Linked DNA regions of Arabidopsis thaliana. The protein of the gene in region 3 interacts with the protein of the main gene of each other region in a pairwise test. Each region holds a gene or a part of one and is shown on either strand. Other genes may lie near its edges.

What was found.
Region 1: the proteins of NAP1;3 (region 3) and AT4G40040 interact in a protein complementation assay, tested with the Arabidopsis thaliana proteins (one study listed by BioGRID).
Region 2: the proteins of NAP1;3 (region 3) and AT5G10400 interact in a protein complementation assay, tested with the Arabidopsis thaliana proteins (one study listed by BioGRID).

What each region holds. Positions count from the first base shown.
Region 1 is NC_003075.7:18,555,140-18,561,360, forward strand, and holds AT4G40040 (Histone superfamily protein), read right to left. Parts: upstream 3,807-6,221; 5' UTR 3,507-3,806; exon of another isoform or gene 3,098-3,506; coding exon 3,026-3,097; intron 2,939-3,025; coding exon 2,862-2,938; intron 2,760-2,861; coding exon 2,669-2,759; intron 2,571-2,668; coding exon 2,400-2,570; 3' UTR 2,032-2,399; downstream 1-2,031. Other genes in the region: AT4G40020 (Myosin heavy chain-related protein), read right to left, coding at 1-161; AT4G40030 (Histone superfamily protein), read right to left, coding at 701-962, 1,048-1,124, 1,207-1,278, 1,605-1,688; AT4G40042 (Microsomal signal peptidase 12 kDa subunit (SPC12)), read left to right, coding at 4,150-4,431; AT4G40045 (uncharacterized protein), read right to left, coding at 4,787-5,209; AT4G40050 (signal transducer, putative (DUF3550/UPF0682)), read right to left, coding at 6,067-6,221. UniProt on the Arabidopsis thaliana protein: Variant histone H3 which replaces conventional H3 in a wide range of nucleosomes in active genes. Constitutes the predominant form of histone H3 in non-dividing cells and is incorporated into chromatin independently of DNA synthesis.
Region 2 is NC_003076.8:3,268,324-3,273,276, forward strand, and holds AT5G10400 (Histone superfamily protein), read right to left. Parts: upstream 2,635-4,953; 5' UTR 2,566-2,634; coding exon 2,155-2,565; 3' UTR 1,849-2,154; downstream 1-1,848. Other genes in the region: RING1 (RING/U-box superfamily protein), read left to right, coding at 1-401; AT5G10390 (Histone superfamily protein), read right to left, coding at 742-1,152; AT5G10410 (ENTH/ANTH/VHS superfamily protein), read left to right, coding at 3,629-4,041, 4,156-4,759. UniProt on the Arabidopsis thaliana protein: Core component of nucleosome. Nucleosomes wrap and compact DNA into chromatin, limiting DNA accessibility to the cellular machineries which require DNA as a template.
Region 3 is NC_003076.8:23,030,122-23,037,589, reverse strand, and holds NAP1;3 (nucleosome assembly protein 1;3), read right to left. Parts: upstream 5,142-7,468; 5' UTR 4,973-5,141; coding exon 4,927-4,972; intron 4,845-4,926; coding exon 4,801-4,844; intron 4,673-4,800; coding exon 4,577-4,672; intron 4,368-4,576; coding exon 4,275-4,367; intron 4,143-4,274; coding exon 4,055-4,142; intron 3,967-4,054; coding exon 3,905-3,966; intron 3,817-3,904; coding exon 3,632-3,816; intron 3,500-3,631; coding exon 3,322-3,499; intron 3,235-3,321; coding exon 3,191-3,234; intron 3,045-3,190; coding exon 2,843-3,044; intron 2,747-2,842; coding exon 2,729-2,746; intron 2,360-2,728; coding exon 2,291-2,359; 3' UTR 1,897-2,290; downstream 1-1,896. Other genes in the region: AT5G56940 (Ribosomal protein S16 family protein), read right to left, coding at 5,390-5,618, 6,446-6,491, 6,579-6,711; EMB1789 (CCCH-type zinc finger family protein), read left to right, coding at 7,025-7,181, 7,314-7,468. UniProt on the Arabidopsis thaliana protein: May modulate chromatin structure by regulation of nucleosome assembly/disassembly. May function in nucleotide excision repair (NER). Involved in somatic homologous recombination. Could be involved in response to abscisic acid (ABA) and to salt stress.

The DNA.
Region 1 (6,221 bases), on a different chromosome or scaffold from region 3:
TCTTTCTTCAATAACTCTTGTTTTAAAGAAACGACTTCGTTTTCTCTGTTCTCAAGGGAAGCTTTCATTTTGTAAAGCTCTGTACCAATATCCGCAACTTTGTTCGATGAATACCTTGGAGAAGCTACATCAATGGACGGTTTCTCATCGACTTCTCCCATAGATGATAGAATGTTTTTTATTCAGCGTTTCCGAGGAATTTTTGGTAATGGCCAATGGGTTTATTAGAAGATTGACTAAGAATATATTTAAGAGGTTGACAAAAAGATCTATTGGTCAAAGAAAGAAAATTTGGTTCAAAGAGGAACTTATTTCCTTATTTTTAGGGTTAGTTTTATCGAGAGCCGTCTATTTTATCGTCTGATATTATTATTTTCTTTGGTCAAAAGTCCAAAATCTGATTCTTTTAAAAGAAAGCATTCAACAAATCCAAAATTATAGAAAAAAATCAGCCATTATTTGAAGAGAAAGCAATGGTGACGAACAAACGAGTTAAGAAAACATAAGAATTTAACAAAAGAGTTAAAAAGAGTTCGCAACACACATAATAATAAGCTTAAAGAACACAACATTCTTAGATTGCAGACTTCTTACTACTCTTACTACTACATACCCAGAGATTTAAAAAACACAGCAATTAAGATCTTGCTTTCATAAAAAACAAAAACTACTTGAACCAAATCTCGGATTCTTGGTTGGCTTAAGCGCGTTCACCTCTGATACGACGAGCGAGCTGAATGTCTTTGGGCATTATGGTCACACGCTTGGCATGAATGGCACAAAGGTTAGTGTCTTCAAAGAGACCAACAAGATATGCTTCTGCAGCTTCCTGGAGAGCTAAGACAGCATGGCTCTGGAAACGCAAATCAGTCTTGAAATCTTGAGCAATCTCACGGACTAGCCTCTGAAATGGCAGTTTCCTGATAAGCAACTCAGTACTCTTCTGGTACTTACGGATTTCACTGAACACCAAAAGATAAGAGGAATGTTAACACACAATGTTACATAATCTCAAAGAATCACATACAAATCGAAGAAGGGACAAACCGGAGAGCAACAGTTCCAGGACGGTAACGATGTGGTTTCTTGACTCCACCAGTAGTTGGTGCAGATTTACGAGCAGCCTGAGGTTAATAAAGAAGGAGATTAACATTCAACTTCACAACACAAGTATTATTTGAAAAAAGAGACAAGAAGGAACAAAACCTTAGTAGCAAGTTGCTTCCTTGGAGCTTTACCTCCGGTGGACTTACGAGCGGTTTGCTTGGTACGAGCCATCTGCGCATTTAACAAGAAATTGAACAGTCAATTGGGGATTTTCATTATCCATAACTAAATTTTGAAGAAATTGGAATACTAAACGTCACCACTTAAAACCCTAATCCAGATGAATCGTTATCGAACCAGATATAACCAAAAGGGGCAAAATTGACTCGAAAACCCTAGTTCTCGATACACGGCTAGGTAATGACAATCGCACACAGACAAATCTGGTTATACAGAACTTCGAAGCAAGAAAAAAACGATGAAGAATGGATCATCCAATAAATCGACTAGACTCAATCTTCACAGGTTTATCGATCCAGCAAACTTAAAAGACGGACCTTTATTTTCAAACTGGAATGGGACAAAACCCGAAACTCTATTGTCGTAAAATCAGATCGCGGAGACAGTAACAGAAAAAACATTAAAAAGTAATGGAAAGACCTAAACCCCTGATCTAATTACAAACAAATCATACCTGTTCTTCGCCTGAGCTGACTTTTGTTTTGTTTTGTTTTTTTGTCTTTCGTAACAAAAGCAGTAATAGGGGATGATTGAAGTAGTGGTTGTGGCCGCAATGTAGTTGAATTATTATTTATAATACTCACGAAAGGGTTATCACGATACGCTCCTTTGTGCTTTCTCACATTCTTTATCCTACGGTTCAAACTATTGTACATTGTGTTTTCTCAACACAGCCCAACGGCCACGATTAGAGATTTTAAGTGTCACACGGATTACCAATTTCGTGAACGTAAAAGTTGTTGATATTGAAAAGAACTTTGAAACAGAAAGCTTATTGATAAACAATAAAACTCAATCATACAATATCGAACAGATACAGATGAAACAAGAGTCAGAAACTTTAACATATTCATATGTTTCAGAGATGAATTCAACAACAAAAGGTGTTCAACATTGCCAAAGAAGAAAGCAATACACACCACAAAACGTAGCTAAGAAGAACACAAGCAAATCATAAACCGACTAGACAAGAAACAGAAAGAAAAGAAAAAAAAAACACCATTGTTTCCAAGTCTCCTACACCCAAAAGCTTTTTAAGCCATTATCTAATTCCAACTATCTATTTAGAAAACCACCCACATTCACATAATCCAACTACTTCCCAATCACAATTAAGCACGTTCTCCTCTGATCCTGCGAGCGAGCTGAATGTCTTTGGGCATTATGGTCACACGCTTGGCATGGATGGCGCAGAGGTTAGTGTCCTCAAAGAGACCCACAAGGTATGCTTCAGCAGCCTCCTGGAGTGCAAGCACAGCATGGCTCTGGAAACGCAAGTCAGTCTGCAATCAAAGAGACAAGATAAGAACACAAGGTTATGACAAAACAAGTAAAAAGTTAAATCCATTTGTAGACTGAATCAGACGAACAGACACATTACCTTGAAATCCTGGGCAATCTCACGAACTAGCCTCTGGAAAGGGAGCTTCCTGATCAGCAACTCGGTACTCTTCTGGTACTTACGAATTTCACTGTCAATCAAGATCAATAAAACAGAGAAACAGAGTTTAATCAATGACGATATCAATAAAGTAAAAACACAATTGAATTTGGGGAAGAAACAGATTGCATACCGTAGTGCAACAGTTCCTGGACGGTAACGATGGGGCTTCTTGACTCCTCCAGTGGTTGGTGCAGACTTACGTGCAGCCTTAAATTAAAACATCCACCAATTAGAACAAATCTAGAAATGTGTTTATCAAGCTACTCAGATCACATGTGAGAGCCCGAGTCTTACCTTTGTAGCAAGCTGCTTCCTAGGAGCCTTTCCTCCAGTAGACTTACGAGCTGTTTGCTTAGTACGAGCCATCTGTTCAACAAATTAACAAGATTTAGATCCATACGTATTCAATTGCCGGAATGTATCGTAAGATCAACACAAAACCAAAGAAAATCCCTAATTGCAATCGCATAATCAAGAAAATCAAAACCCTAATCAACAATCGCCGAATAAGAACAATCTATTTACACATGTGAAAACTATCGAGAATTTCAGAGATTCTAGACAAAGAAACTATCTGGTGATGAAATCTAGCTATACGATTCATCTCTAACCTAAAATCTTTATCCGGAAGATCATTCGGCGAAGAAACAAGATAATGGCCAAGAATAGAAACTAATCTCGCCTAATTTCGTACCACCTATCGAGCGATTCCAGTAGTTTCACGATCACCGAAAAAATATTTCCAGGAAAATCAAAGAGGATCGAAGAATCGTACCTCAGAAAACTCTCTAGCTTCTCCGAATTTCAAACTTGAGCTCCGAATTCGAAAAAGATAATATTGTCAGTCTTCACGCGTGTACGGCTATTGATATTAATTTATAGGCAACGATGGTAAAGCGGATTTATATGATCGGACGGTTTTTATCGATTATCAATGTGTTTCTCAAGTTTTCTAATCGTACGGGTAAAAATATCACAACATGTGCTTTCTTGCACCAATTCAACGGTCCAGATCTAGCTTTACTGGTTTGACGAGGATCACCACTGCTACATAATTGATTGCTATTGGCTGAATACAAACCGTCGCGGATCGCTGAAATAAACCGTTCGGATTTAGTTTAGGCCGTCACATCAATTAATGGGCTCACAGATAAGGCCCATTGAATACAAAATCCGATTGGTGCGTTACGTACGGTACATTAAATTGGTTGCACCAGTCAAACTTTCCGGTTCAGTACTAACCGAAATATTGGAGTCGTCGTCTTCTTCCGTCAAGAAGAAACCAGAATTTTTACAGAGATTTGAAAATCGTCTCCATTTTCTAGGTATAGAATCTCCAAAGAGATCGATCTGTGCGATTCAAATTTTGTTATATCGGATCTAAATCGTAATTTTGTGTTTTTTTTTCTTCTTCAGATATGGATTGGCAAGGGCAGAAATTGGCGGAGCAGTTAATGCAGATCCTGCTTCTGATCGCCGCCGTTGTGTCGTTCGTTGTTGGTTACACAACGGCGTCGTTTAGGATGATGATGTTGATTTACGCCGGAGGTGTTGTTCTGACGACTCTGATCACAATACCTAATTGGCCTTGCTTTAATCGTCATCATCTTAAGTGGTTAGATCCAAGTGAAGCAGAGAAACATCCTAAACCTCAAGTTGTTGTTGTTAGCTCCAAGAAGAAATCCTCCTCTAAAAAGTAGTGTCTCTTCTTAATATAACTTAAGCTTAATAAAGTCTCAATGAAATAACTTTAATCGATTCTCGCCATTGCTTTTGATTGTGATATATCAATGCATTGCTTCGAGTTGGATCATAAGAGGTGTTAACTTTGAGATTTGAACTGGTTCGTAAGACATTCTTCTTCAGTGTTTCAAGAAGAGGGTTTAAACCATGTTCGAATTCACACCAAACTTGATACCAAGCTCAAATGTACATTCATGCATGTATCTGTAGTAATTCTTCAAATCGATTACAATAACAGAGTAGAATCTGAATCGTTGTTGGTACAAATTCTTTAGTAGTAAATGACCATTATAAAGACAATAGTAGACAAAGCTAGAGGAGAGTGACGAGAATGAAAATGAGTAGAGCAGCGATAAATGAATACTTGAGAGCAGCGACAAGGATGGCGAAAGAGATGAAGAAAAGCTGAGACAAGACTTGAAGGCTAGCCCAAGTCAACACTCCAGCTAATCCAACAGCCACAAAGTTATCTTGATCTGGATTCAACAGCTCTCCCCACTTGAAACTGAAACCAGCGAATTGGTCTTTCTTGGAACCATTACCATCATCGTTAGTAACAGGTCTGTTTCCGCCACCAGAAGACTCCTTGGCCGAGTCGTTGCCATTTTGAGCATTTGTTCTCAAGATTAATGAAGGAGATTTGCACAAGCGAATGTGATGATGATGATGCGGAATGTTGTATGAAAAACGAGGCTTTAATGTTGTTACAGGCACAAAAGGTCTCAAAGTTAGCATAGTGGATGGAATTTAGGTTTTTCAAATCAAAGATCTTTATGGGTTTCTTGGAGTAGTCAAATCCATCTGCAATTGAAAAACAGATATGCCAATATATGAATATTCCCTGAAAACAGATCTAAAAGCTTCTCAAACTAATAATCGCAACTCCAACCAAACATAGTTAATACCAGACGAAACTATCCAAAGATTTATTCAAATCTCTGCAAACTCACCTCGAAATCTCCATGTTTCTTCCTCCTTTCCACTAAAGCGATGATAGGTCGCAGAACTAGAAGACAGCGAAATCAAGCGGTTCCGGTTAGAAATTGGACTCGATGGCTACGATTCAATCTCACAGAGACACCTTTGTTCTTGGCGTTTTGATTTATTATTTGACGGCTAGGATTCAATCTCTGGCACCTTTCATCATTTGTAAAAAAGTATCAACCTTTTTACTTCGTTCTTGAGCTCAAATGTTGAAACTTAAAACCCATTCATCACAAAGTTGAATAGATAATTTGGGTAAAGTTTCAATCTTTAATTCGTTCTTGGCTCAAACTTACATAGATGTTTATGAAAAAGCGATAGAACAATGTCACACTTTCTTAGTTTCTTTAATGCAATGCACAGATATTGTTAACCTCTCCTCGTACACAAAGCAAACCATCCTAAAGAAGAGACTAATGATTATTACCTTGTTCTAATCTTTTACAAATATGACAAAACTAAAGAATCATCAAATCAAAATAAAAATTACAATTCTCTCTTTTCTTTATACCCTAAACAAATACAAACTTCTATAACAAAAACGAACAAACAACCTACTCTCTCACCCACCAACCTACTCTCAACCACAGGGATGGATTTTTCTAATTTTATGTGTTGGTGAAGTGGAAAGATTTGGCAACACCCAAGTGCTCAGCTAGTCGTTGTACTGAGGACTGCACCGGTTTAGATACCGAAGAGAGCAGCTCTGGGAGATTCGGGTGGCATTGAGGTAAATACGGGTCATCATCCTCTGTGCGGCTGA
Region 2 (4,953 bases), about 20 Mb from region 3:
CTCACAAGAACTGTCCTTTATGTCGTGCCCCTGTACTTCTTATCACTGAACCACCTCATCAAGAAACAGAGACGAATCATCAACCAGATTCTGAATCGAGCAATGACCTCCGTGGAAGACAAGACAGTTCCAGATCTAGAAGAAACCATAACATTTTTCTTCCAAGGGCACAAAGTGATTTGGCAAACTACTGTGGCTCAGGAAGAGTAGAAAACGTGAGAAGATCGTTTTCAATTGGAGGAAGCTTATCACTTTGCGATGGTATTAACAATGCTACTAGAAGTGGAAGACAGTTCTATACCAGCTTCAGTGCTAACTTGTTCTCATCATCAAGAAGAGTAAGGAACGAACAACCGATTCCACAAAACCAAATGCCATCCGTAACTGGTAACACCAGTTAATTGGTGTAACTACATTGAAGCTTAATGTAATATCTAGTGTGTTATATACAGTATCTGAAATAAATCGAAACTTTCAATGTTTCAATATTATATGATCAACGAGCAGCAAAACCAAAGAAATTAAGGAAAATAAGTTCTATTAAACAGGAGAGAGTTTCGTTGGGGTATTTCATCGAACACTTCAAGGCTAACTAAACCAAAGTACCTAACAACTGAAAATTAAAACGAGCCAAAGCTCAACACTTACAAGAACCCATTACTACTAAAACGCAAATCAAAATCCAGAAATAGAGTTCCATTGACGAACTAAATCAAAAGATATAAACCATAACAACAGTCTTCAAGCTCTTTCTCCTCTGATTCTCCTCGCGAGCTGGATATCCTTAGGCATGATGGTGACCCTCTTAGCGTGAATGGCGCAAAGATTAGTGTCTTCAAACAAACCAACAAGGTAAGCCTCAGCAGCCTCTTGTAAAGCAGCAACAGCACTGCTCTGAAACCTCAGATCCGTCTTGAAATCCTGAGCTATCTCACGAACCAGACGCTGGAAAGGAAGCTTACGGATCAGAAGCTCAGTGCTCTTCTGATACTTCCTGATCTCTCTCAAGGCAACAGTTCCTGGACGGAATCTATGCGGCTTCTTCACTCCTCCGGTGGCCGGAGCAGATTTCCTTGCCGCCTTGGTTGCGAGTTGCTTTCTTGGTGCTTTGCCTCCTGTGGATTTCCTCGCGGTTTGCTTAGTACGAGCCATTTCGAAATCAAACAAAGACTAATCGACCGATCGAATTTTCTTCTTGTGGAGGATGCGAATGAGAAATTTTGTAGTGAAGATCAACGCAGAAGAGGGACTGCTTTTATGGGGAGAGAAATTTGGCGGTGAGGTGAAAAAAACATGGGAGGGAGTTTTGTTTTTGGAGGGAAAGTTGTATTCTTGTCCGTTGGATTAAATATTTCAATCAACGGCTGAGATCATCAGGTATAAATCCGTGTGAGACCTTATCAACGAATTAAAATAGACTAAAATTCCGGCCATCCGTGTCATTTACTATCAACCAATTTAAATCATCCTTTTCAGTCCACGTAGGCTTTTGCGCTACTTCCAAATCTTTTAATTTTAGGCGCCAAATCGAAAATTTTGGCTATGAAGGGTCTCAAAAAAATTCAATCGTAGAAAATAAGGATGAAATTATTTCAAAATTTACATAACAAATTTAGCCTGAAGTTACAAATTTCGAGAAATTACATTACTCTTATTCAGCAAATCTACGCATTAAGTAAAATAATTTGGAGGATTTCTTACTGTGATGGTATAACCAGGAATAGAACAATCTGCGAATTCTCACTTTGATTTTGTAAAGAACCGATACTTTTCTTACGTTTAGTGAATGATTTAGTTCTAAATAAGAATTTGTAGAATGTTTTGTTCATGGAGAAGAAGACTGAGAATCCCTAAGCAGCTACTATTGCAAATCAATTTGGACAATTTCATCGAGCAAAAAATTAACTCTTCCGTTGATAAACGATTCTTAAGCGTGGCAGAAATATGGAGATCGACAGAACGAATCAAAAGATTAGACAACAGTAGATTAAAATTTCCTTTAGGCATTTCATCGAACATCTGGAAGACACATCTAAGTAAAAAACTAATAACACTCGAAAACGAAAAGAGACAGCTTTACATATCCATTGAAACCAAACAAGCTAATCCATAACTAAACGACTAGTCTTCTTAATCTTCATCATCTTCGTTCACTTAAGCCCTCTCTCCTCTGATTCTCCTCGCAAGCTGGATATCCTTAGGCATAATCGTAACCCTCTTAGCATGAATCGCACAGAGATTAGTATCTTCAAAGAGCCCAACAAGATAAGCCTCAGCTGCTTCCTGAAGAGCTGCGACGGCACTGCTCTGGAACCTCAGATCCGTCTTGAAATCTTGAGCAATCTCACGAACCAATCTCTGGAACGGAAGCTTACGGATCAAAAGCTCAGTACTCTTCTGATACTTCCTGATTTCTCTCAACGCCACCGTTCCTGGACGGAATCTGTGTGGCTTCTTCACTCCTCCGGTGGCTGGAGCTGATTTCCTCGCAGCTTTGGTCGCGAGTTGCTTCCTTGGTGCCTTTCCTCCGGTGGATTTACGAGCTGTTTGCTTGGTACGAGCCATTTTAGGAGTTCGCAAGATTGTAAATTTGCTCTTTTGGATTTGATTCGGTGAGAATGCGATCGATGGGAAAGTGAGTGATGTTGTGAGGCTTTTTTATACTCAAAGGTAGAGAGGAAGTGATTGTGTTTTGTCCGTTAGATCTGTTTGGCTTATCAACGGTTAGAAATGTTTGTATCTTTACGATCCGCGTCCTGTGTTAATAACCAATAAGAATTACTTTCTCAGCATCCACGTCATATGTTACCAAAATTGTCAATGCCGAAATTCACATATACAATTTGATTTATGTGTTTATGCGGAAGAAGCCATGAATCAATTATTCTTACGGATCTAAAGCTTGACTTGACCAAATTTGTTCTCAACACATTTTTATGAATATATCATTCATGTTGACGTTAAAAAATCGTAAATTGGTGTTCAAATTTTCGAGATCTTTATTTTGTTAATGGAATTTGCTGGTGGCTGCAGTGTGGTTGTTATTACTATTACTTATATAGTTAATTTGTATTGACTTTTCTAATCTTTAATTAGATACTAGATAAATGACAATACTGGTAAACCTATTCGTTAAATATAACATTGGTAAACTTATTCATTTACAATACAAATAAAAAAAACATTGGTGTAAAGTCAATAGTCAATACAAATAAACTATATATGTAATAGAAATAACAAAGTAGTTGCCAGACTTATTCTATAACATTCCTATCAACATTTTATTTAACAAATAACAACATTTTATTGGTCTTATGAGGTTGAATATGAACTCGTCATGTTTAATATAAGTTTTATAAAATGAATGAACGACGACTTTAGAATGAAAAGATATATTACCAAATTAATAGTTGAGAAAAGTAAAATTAATCAAATTTGGATGTCGACCAAAAAAATAATGTTAATTTTGAATGATTGCAAAAGGAAACTCACGTATATAAAAAAGATTTAAAAGGAAACTATAAGAAAATGGAAAGCGAATCAAACATTGGACGCTTATAAAAATCAAATTCCAACCTCACAAAGCAAAACAGCTTCAATTTTTTTTTCATCTAGTTCCATCGAGATAATGCCAGGACTCAAAACTCACATAATCGGAAAATTCAAAGACAAAGCTTCGATAGGCAAAGCAAGATTGGTTCATAGTTTCGGGTCCACCGCCGTCAAATACATTCACTTAGCCCTCTTGAAGTCAACAACTCGTACTCCTAACAAACCACCAAACAGTGACTATGTCTCCGCTGTTATCTCTTACTCCAACAGCCGTTACGCTCCGGCGGCTTTCTCAGCGGCTCTGTGGAGGTTACGTGTCACGAAGAACGCTATTGTGGCCACCAAGTCTCTCATCGTCATCCACAAGCTTATCAAATCATCAAGAGACAAGTTTGAAGGACTAGGTCATGGTCGAAACAATCTAAAGTTGAACGAGTTTTCAGACAAATCTTCTAATCTCACGCTAGAATTGTCTCAGTGGATTAGATGGTAATTTACTTCTTCTTTTAAAAAGATTTTTTAGTTCTCTTTTTTGATTGTGATATTTATCTAATAATTTGGACATGTTCATACCGACATTTTTAAAAAAAAAATGTAACTTAGGTATGGACAATACTTGGATCGTCTCTCGTGGGTTCCGAAGGTATTAGGATCTTTTCCAAATTTGTTGGTGAATCCAAAAGATAAAGTTGAAGAGAAAGATCGTGTTTCGTCTTACCAAACCGGGTATATTATAAGACAAACGGATTCTCTTGTGAGTTTTTTTGAGCATATATGTACCAGACCTGAGATTCCGCCTATGTTCCAAAACAAGATCGTGGACGAGATTAGAGAGCTAGTGATTGAAGACTATTTCAAGATTGTGAGATTGGTTATGGTACGGCTTCAGGTGTTGTTTGAACGATTGATTAAACCGGGTGTTAAACCTATTGGTGATCTCGGTCTGAACGATTTTAGTCTGCTTTTGGTGAGACTTGTAGAATGCAAGGAGAGCTTGAGTGGATTATTTTGGCGTTGCAGACGTCTAGCGGATGATTTTTGGTGTTTGGTTGAGATGTTGAAGGCTGAAACAGAAAAGAAAAACAATAAGCAGATGATTGAATTGGCCGGTTTGGTTCAGACTACGGTTAAGGACGATGAGGAGATGATTGAATTGGTTGGTTCGGTTCAACCCGAATGGGTAACATTCGACGATTCTGATTTCTGAGACATTAACACATGAAGTTACATTGGATTCCGGATGGGTAACATTTGACGACTCCAACGGATTGACGAATAATTCGGTCTGGTTGGTTCAGTTAGGTGAAGCAAGATCCGGTTTACACATGGTAGACTTCTCACTATACGTACATAAATACCAGCTTTACGATTTAATTTGGTTTTTGTCTTGACTCTTGAGAA
Region 3 (7,468 bases):
TTATAATTTAGGTTTTGTCCAATTATAAATATACACTTATACACATAATCTCTTAAATATTAGTCTAAAATTTTCAATTTCTCCTATTTCTATTATACTTTATTATTTATTTTATATTTTTTAGTTAATGATAAACTATGTGAAATACTCCATCCCAAAATAAAAAGTTGGGGCAAATTGTAGAAAATTCAGAACTGAAAATTTCGGAAGACGCCATTTTTGACCCGATTTAAGATTACGGAAGAACGTACGTTTGAGAAAACCTTCTCCTGTACTAACTCGTAAAGCTACTTATTCCTAATTAGGCTATTAAACTAACATTTTCATGATATTATACCCTGCATTAATTTTAAAGACTATATTAACACTTAAACACGTGGAACTTTTGAAGATTATGCTTCTAGACACTTAAGAGGAAAAGAATGTTGACTGTTTTCTATGGAAAAAGTGACAAATTCAAAAGCTTAGTTAAAATGTCTTCAAACATTGTATCATATAGTATACCTAGTCTTACCAAAATAGGTATATTAATTATATCGCTTTCATCGTTCGAATCCACTCACTATATATATGATTTTTTTTATCGCACTATATGATATCGGCAATTAAATATGGCTAATTATCATCAAACGGGATGATCTGACCCAATAATTCAAAACATTTATAAATTACTGTATATATATCTTTTACATGAACTCTCTATCTTAAACATTTTTAGCATTTTGTTTTGTAAATTGCAAACGTAAAAATTAAACAAAAATAGAATGATATATGCGTTTGGTTTTACATTTACTCTATATAAAAATATCTTATTTTGAAAATAGTTGTTTACTGTTCTTTTTACATGTTAAAGACTAGCTATTACCGTAGAAAGCCAATTCGTTTGAATATTGGAACTTGAATGATATCAACTAAAGTGATGAATCATTGTCCACAGTCTATTTGGATTAGCATCCCCATTCATTGAATTAACTGACTTACAGATACATTGGCCAAAAGAGAATGTAGCAGTTTCCCTGTTTCAGTCATTTTTCCGTTAGGTTGTGTCTTTTGAGGGAACATAACTTTATAGGCAATTATTACTACAAAACATTTGGATAAAACCCTACATGTCTTAAATTCTTTTGGCTGATTCGTGCTATTAAAATAGTATCATACTATTGATTTACAAGCCATCTTGTATAAAGTTTAAGATAAAGACGCCTTTTAGATCATTACTTTTGAATTTTGATCAAATATTTGGGTTATGATCTATTGTTTGGGATTACCTTAATAGTAATATTAAACTTCTAATAAAACGGAGTATTAGATTCAAATTCAGATCAAATAGCACTAAAAGCAAAAAAAATAACTAATTGACTAAATCATGCTTTAGAAAAAATTAATCACGCTTAAACAATACTCCAATATAACATTTATAGTCAATGGACGACAAAGCTGTAAAAAAAAAAAAAGTCAATGGACGACAAAGATTTGAAGTCAATAGTTTGATAACCTCAGGGTAATGTGAAATGATTCATTAGCACTAATTGTATTTGTAATTAACTGATAAAAGAATCTTCAGTCCTTGAGAGGACATGATTTGTTACGGTGAAGCAAAATATTCAAAAACAAATACGCATTAATCCAAAACCGTTGTTTGGTAGAATCAGCAAATTCCATTTGGAGTCAAAATCAACTATTAAAACAAGTACATATATTTTTTTCTGTATATAGAAAGAGTCCCTTTCGTGTGCATCTTTGATTTTAACGTTTACTATTTAAATGACTCAATTAATTGATTTATTAACGAATAACGACACTCACTAATGCTAAATTGCTAATGGTCACGGTGTGTGATTAATTTGACTTTGACCATAATGAAATACTAATCGACCCATTGAAGAAGAAACTACATGAAAACAAATTTCTTTCTGTTCTTTTTTCTTGGTTTACAATAAGAATAATACACTTATGTCCACACAAAAAAAACAATGATAAGATTTATTTATTTTTAAATTAAAGAAACCAAAAGAGACTTAATTCAAGTGGTAAAAAGATATAATTTTGACGAACACACCAAAATTCAACTTAGTGATTAAAAAAAAAAAAAACAAATGCACCAAAAATAATTTATCAAGTATCTCCACATGGAGAAACTCACTCTTTTGCCTACAGCAACATTCCTATGAGCAGTCTTCAAAACATTTTGCCTTACATGGAAGCAAAAAACTAGGCCATGAAACTTCACTCAAAACCCAAAACATTTGTTTTTCTTTTACTGGTTTTCGTTTAGACTTTTCGATTTTGTTTACTGTTGTTTGCATTCAGGAGGCCTCTCTCCTTGTTGATCATCGGTAACCTGAGGTCTCCCTCCTTTCTGCAATATGATTTCAAAAAGAGTATGACTATAGAATCCATCTCATTATCACAAACATAGCACAATGGTTTGCAAGTACTAGATTTAGCCTAAGCTTATAAATATGCATGAGAAGGATTCTACATAGTTTCATTTATAATTCTCAGTCATATAAGAGTTCAAGTTTCTATGATTCACAGATTCGTGCATAGTGAGCTTAATCAGTTAATTTCAGCTATCTCCTAATTCACGGGTCATGTTCTCTACTTTTTAGATCATGGTCTAGCCTATAAATGTCAATAGTTTATGACCGTTGTATGACTCATTGGTATCGGATTATCTAATTAACTCAGACAAATACTATAAGAAGGGTGGAATATGGCTATGTACCTTGTGTAAGACTGATGGCTGCATAAACATTCAACACAATATCAAAAAGTTAGTAACTAACTCAGAAAAGGTAATTCCATGACAAGAAGAAATGAAACAAGAGGAATCCAATACCTTCTTTTTGGTCTTGCTTACTTCTTCCTCCTCATCTTCGTCGTCTTCTTCCTCATCTTCGTCTTCATCTTCTTCATCCTCATCTTCATCCTCATCGATATCATCTTCATCGTCATTGTCTATTTCAAACTCCTCTCCCTCAATAGCCTCACCAGTAAACCATGAGACAGCATGAGGTATGATCTTCTCCCGGATTGTAGAACTGCAAGAAGCAAGGAATACTTGAATCAGATACTAAATAATGTATTAACTTTCCGATAAAAGATGCTAGCTAGAGCTCTTATACAGTTGGTAATAAGTTAGACGGAATATATTAAATTGACAGAGTTTATGTTCAAGAAGACGAACCCAATGTCATAATCTTGTTCCATCAGATTCTGAAGTTCCTCGGCCTGCACCAAGAACAGAAAACATTACTACAAAAGTATAATCAAACATAGTCAAAATAGGGCCTGTCTTAAAACCAAATGATATCATACTCTTTCTTCGTCAATGTCTTCATCATCATCAGGAACTTGGGGAGGATTGAAGAAGTTGAAGAAGCTTTCACAATCTTCAGTTTTGGTAATTGGCTTGGCATTCTTTGCACCTTTCTTAGGCTTCTTCTTAAGAATCTTCTGAGTTAAGCATTTTCCAGGATACCAATCAATCTCTGTCCTGAGACAAAGAACAAAGAATCAAAATCCATGTTAGTGCATAAGTCAGTACAAGATTCCGCAGCTCCTTGGAAGAATCTCAGAACAAAATATGCTAGGGAATAAATATTACAAAAAAGTTATCAACAATTACCCAATAGCCTTCTCAAGCAGAGGCTCATCTTCATCAATCATATGATACGCCTTTGTTAATAGGGTGTTTTTGAAGTAAGGATTCTGGTCGAAGAAAAACTCAAGTTTGAATCCCTTTGGTTCTTCAATCTTGCACCACTTGATATCTTTAAGATATATAAGGGCTCCTTCATCACGCTCTGTGATCTGAAATCAAAAGAAATTAAAACTCTGGTCAATTTCCATGGATATGATTAAGTAACTCTAAATGAACAATCATAGATGTAACACCAACCTCTTCAGATATAACATCATTATTTTTCAGAGCAGTCAGCCAGAAACTAGGGACTCCTTTCTCTGCAATCCAGCCCGGTGAAATAAGCAAATTGTTTTTTTCTTGCAAGAATGATTACAATTTACAAAGGCAAAGAGAGAGAGAGAGTACCTTCTGCAGTTTTCTCGTCTCCTTGGTCCATCTTAGCATCCTCTGGAGCCCCTTCAACTTCAGTAGCTCCATTCACAATCTCATAACGCTGCACATTCCAAATGTCAAGCCAGTGTCAAGAGAAATTCGAAGCTAACTAAAGCCAACACAGCTGGAAATAAAGAAAATACAGGATAACTAAATTTTTCAAAATAGTTTAATCTTGCTACAACCAAATTACCTTGTTATACAAAGGCTGATATAACTTTTGATACTTGGCTTCAAGAGCAGCTCTCTCCTCGCGGAATTTTGTCTCTATTTCATCATGTTTGCCCTAAAAAACGAAAAGGATTCTCAGATAATCATCAAAAGAATGCACAGCATTCTCATATAATCAAAAGCATACAAATATACATTTCAACATCATACTCACAAGATACCATATCAATCTACACCAATCTATTGAACAAAAGCTTATATAGGAAACGTTAATCACAACATAAGCATAGAGCTCATAAAAAGTGAATGGAAGTTTTCCCAAACCTGAATCTCCCGCAAAACCTCAACACGCCTTCTAATTTTAGGAGTCAGATTCTCGAGCACATCAGAATGTTGTCCAGCTAGATTCTGGAGCTTGTTCTGTGAATCAAACACATAACAGTTACAAAAAAATCTCCACAGAAACTATAAAATGACGAAACGCCCAAATTACATGTTCCTCTTCAAGTATAATGCAAATCGATATAAGAAGAGATAGAGAAACTCACCTTAAGAGCGTTGACAAGACCAGCTCGATCCTCATCTTTAAGAGCTGCAAACAAACAAAAAAGCTTCTAAAACTTTGACTAAGAAGAAGCAAAGCCGCAGAAACAAAATCGGAGATATAGATTTACCAGAAGTGAGATCGCTGACATTGAAACTGTCCTTATCGTTGCTCATTTTCTGGAAATTTAGAGATCAAAACTGAAAGATTTGAGAAGAAAAAGGATTGATTGAGAGAGAGTGTGAAGAAGGTTTGAAAAGAGGTGGAGAGATTGAGGAAGAAGAAGAAGACTTGAGGGTTTTTTCTGGGTGGCGACTAAACGCAAAACGTGGCTTCCTCCTTTATAAAATTTAAACCTAACAACTGCCATTCTTTTTTTTTTAATTCCCTCGCTGGCATTTTTATTTACTTTTTCATTTTTTAAAATCTAAAATATCCCAATGCAAAATATGTGCCGTTTCTGCAAAAAGTGCCAAACACCTTGCCGTTTATCGCCAAACAAAGGAAACAAGTCAGTTGTCTAATGCTGCATTACACAATATAATCGACAACAAAGTGAACTTGAAAAGCTACGATGACAGAAGGCTAATGAATCATGCACTCTTGGCTTCTGTATCCTCTTCCTTAGGCTGGTTATCATTGGCATTAACTGTTTTATTCTCTGCATCCACATAGCGACCAGTCATCGGATCAACTGGGCGTGTGTCTCGTGCTCCACCTTTACGTCCCATAGCCACCATTGGAGGAGGAGGAAGTAAACCGGATCTGAATAGGAGACGTTGAACCGGGTCTGATGGCTGAGCACCAACAGATAACCAGTACCTGTACAGAACAAGAGAATCAAACAAAATGTCCATTAATCAAACTATATGCATCCTCTGTTGAAACTAGTCATTCAGAACAAAAGAAAGACAGACCAGGATCTAACTTTTAAGTAGTCTTGACATGTGTTCTTCTAATATCCGGACATTATAATCTTAATTTTAGATGATGATAAAGAGCATGACAAGATTCTAAAGCTACATGACCATACAATTATGCAAAAGAGGTTGTATATGGTGAACAATTAAGAATGTAAGTAAGTGTGTATACGAATAGATAATCAACAGGTTCTTCATCTTACACTAATAAGAAACAATTCCAGAACTCAGAGCAGAAGTTCCATAGAAAGACTCAAGACTGGCGGAGAAGTTTCATTTGTTATATAACAAAACTTGTTGATGAATTTCCACAAATATTTCAGTTTTTCCTTTCATAAGTTAGTGATTAAATGAGGTAGAAAATTGCTTCAACTAATGGTTCAATACCATGAAGAGAAAGAAAGTGATCAAAACCAACCATGGGAAACATGTAGATTCATTCGCCTTTCGATAACAAAAACCATTCAAAGACTGAACTCAGCTCCTTTGTATCAGATCGAAAGATAGTTAACTATAACACAATGTTGACTATACAACAATGCATTAAGATATCTAGAGGCGGCTAGAAGCTAACTTTAGCAATTAACCAAAACACTTCAAATGCAGAAAAGCCTTAATCATCTAGTGAAGCATTCAGAGACCTCTTTCTGAGTAAATTCAACCCAAAACCTACCTGATTTTACCGAAAAAAACATAAGAAACTAGAGAATTAGATGAGAAGAAACATACTTAATTCGATCGAACTTGAGACCCATCCTCTTACCACCGTCCTGGCCTGAACACATAGACCAAGAGATCGTGTATTTTAATCGAAAACTCTACGAACAACACCAATTGGAATACATTTTGTTTTGTCAATCACCTGGCAAAGGATTGAAGTAACCTAAGACCTCAAGATGCTTCCCGTCTCTTGGAGATCTGCTATCAGCAGCCATAACCCTAAAAAATGGCCGATTTTTGCATCCAAATCTCGACAGTCTGATACGTACAACCATGTTTCTCCTCCCTTTTCACCGGAAAAAAATCGAAATGATCAGAGCTGGCTAAGAGAGATAGAGAGAGTGAGAAATTCCAATTTCGAAAACTCTGAATCCATAAATCTTTTAGGGTTTGGATCCTTATTACGACGCCGTTTGTTGAAGGATTCATTGGGCCTACAAAATCAGGAAGCCCATTAACATCAAAGATGATACAAGCCCAATAAAGATTTTTAAATCGTCCACCGCCACAAGACGGCCTTTCTCCGGCGAAAGACAAGCCGAAGTTGAGCCTATCGGTACTGGTTGAGATTATTCTCCGGCGGAGACAATGGAATCTTCCGTCGCTCCGTTTCCTCACCGACGCACGCATCTGCCGAATCGAAATTATCGCTCTTTGCTTTATCACTTTTGCTCGAGTTTCGATCGGGAGCCTCAAATTTCTCTTGCCACACCGGCAGTTCTCCAGGAGCTGGTCTTACGAACAGGTCAGTGTTCGATTCGAAGTCAAAGTTCTTAGGAATGATTAATTCATCTTCTAGTAATCAAAATTCAAAGTTCATCTGTTGCTTGAAATTGCCTGAAACTATTTCTGATGCTATTTGTGTTTTCTTACATAGAAATTGCTCAAGAGTCTCCGGGAGAAACTTGCGAACCGCCGGAGAATTTATCAATTACGGAATCAAAACTCAATGGAGTGTCTGGTGATTCAAGTGGTGAGAAGGTGGAAACAATTTCACAGGAAAAGAGTTTGATGCTTGGAGATATTTGTGAT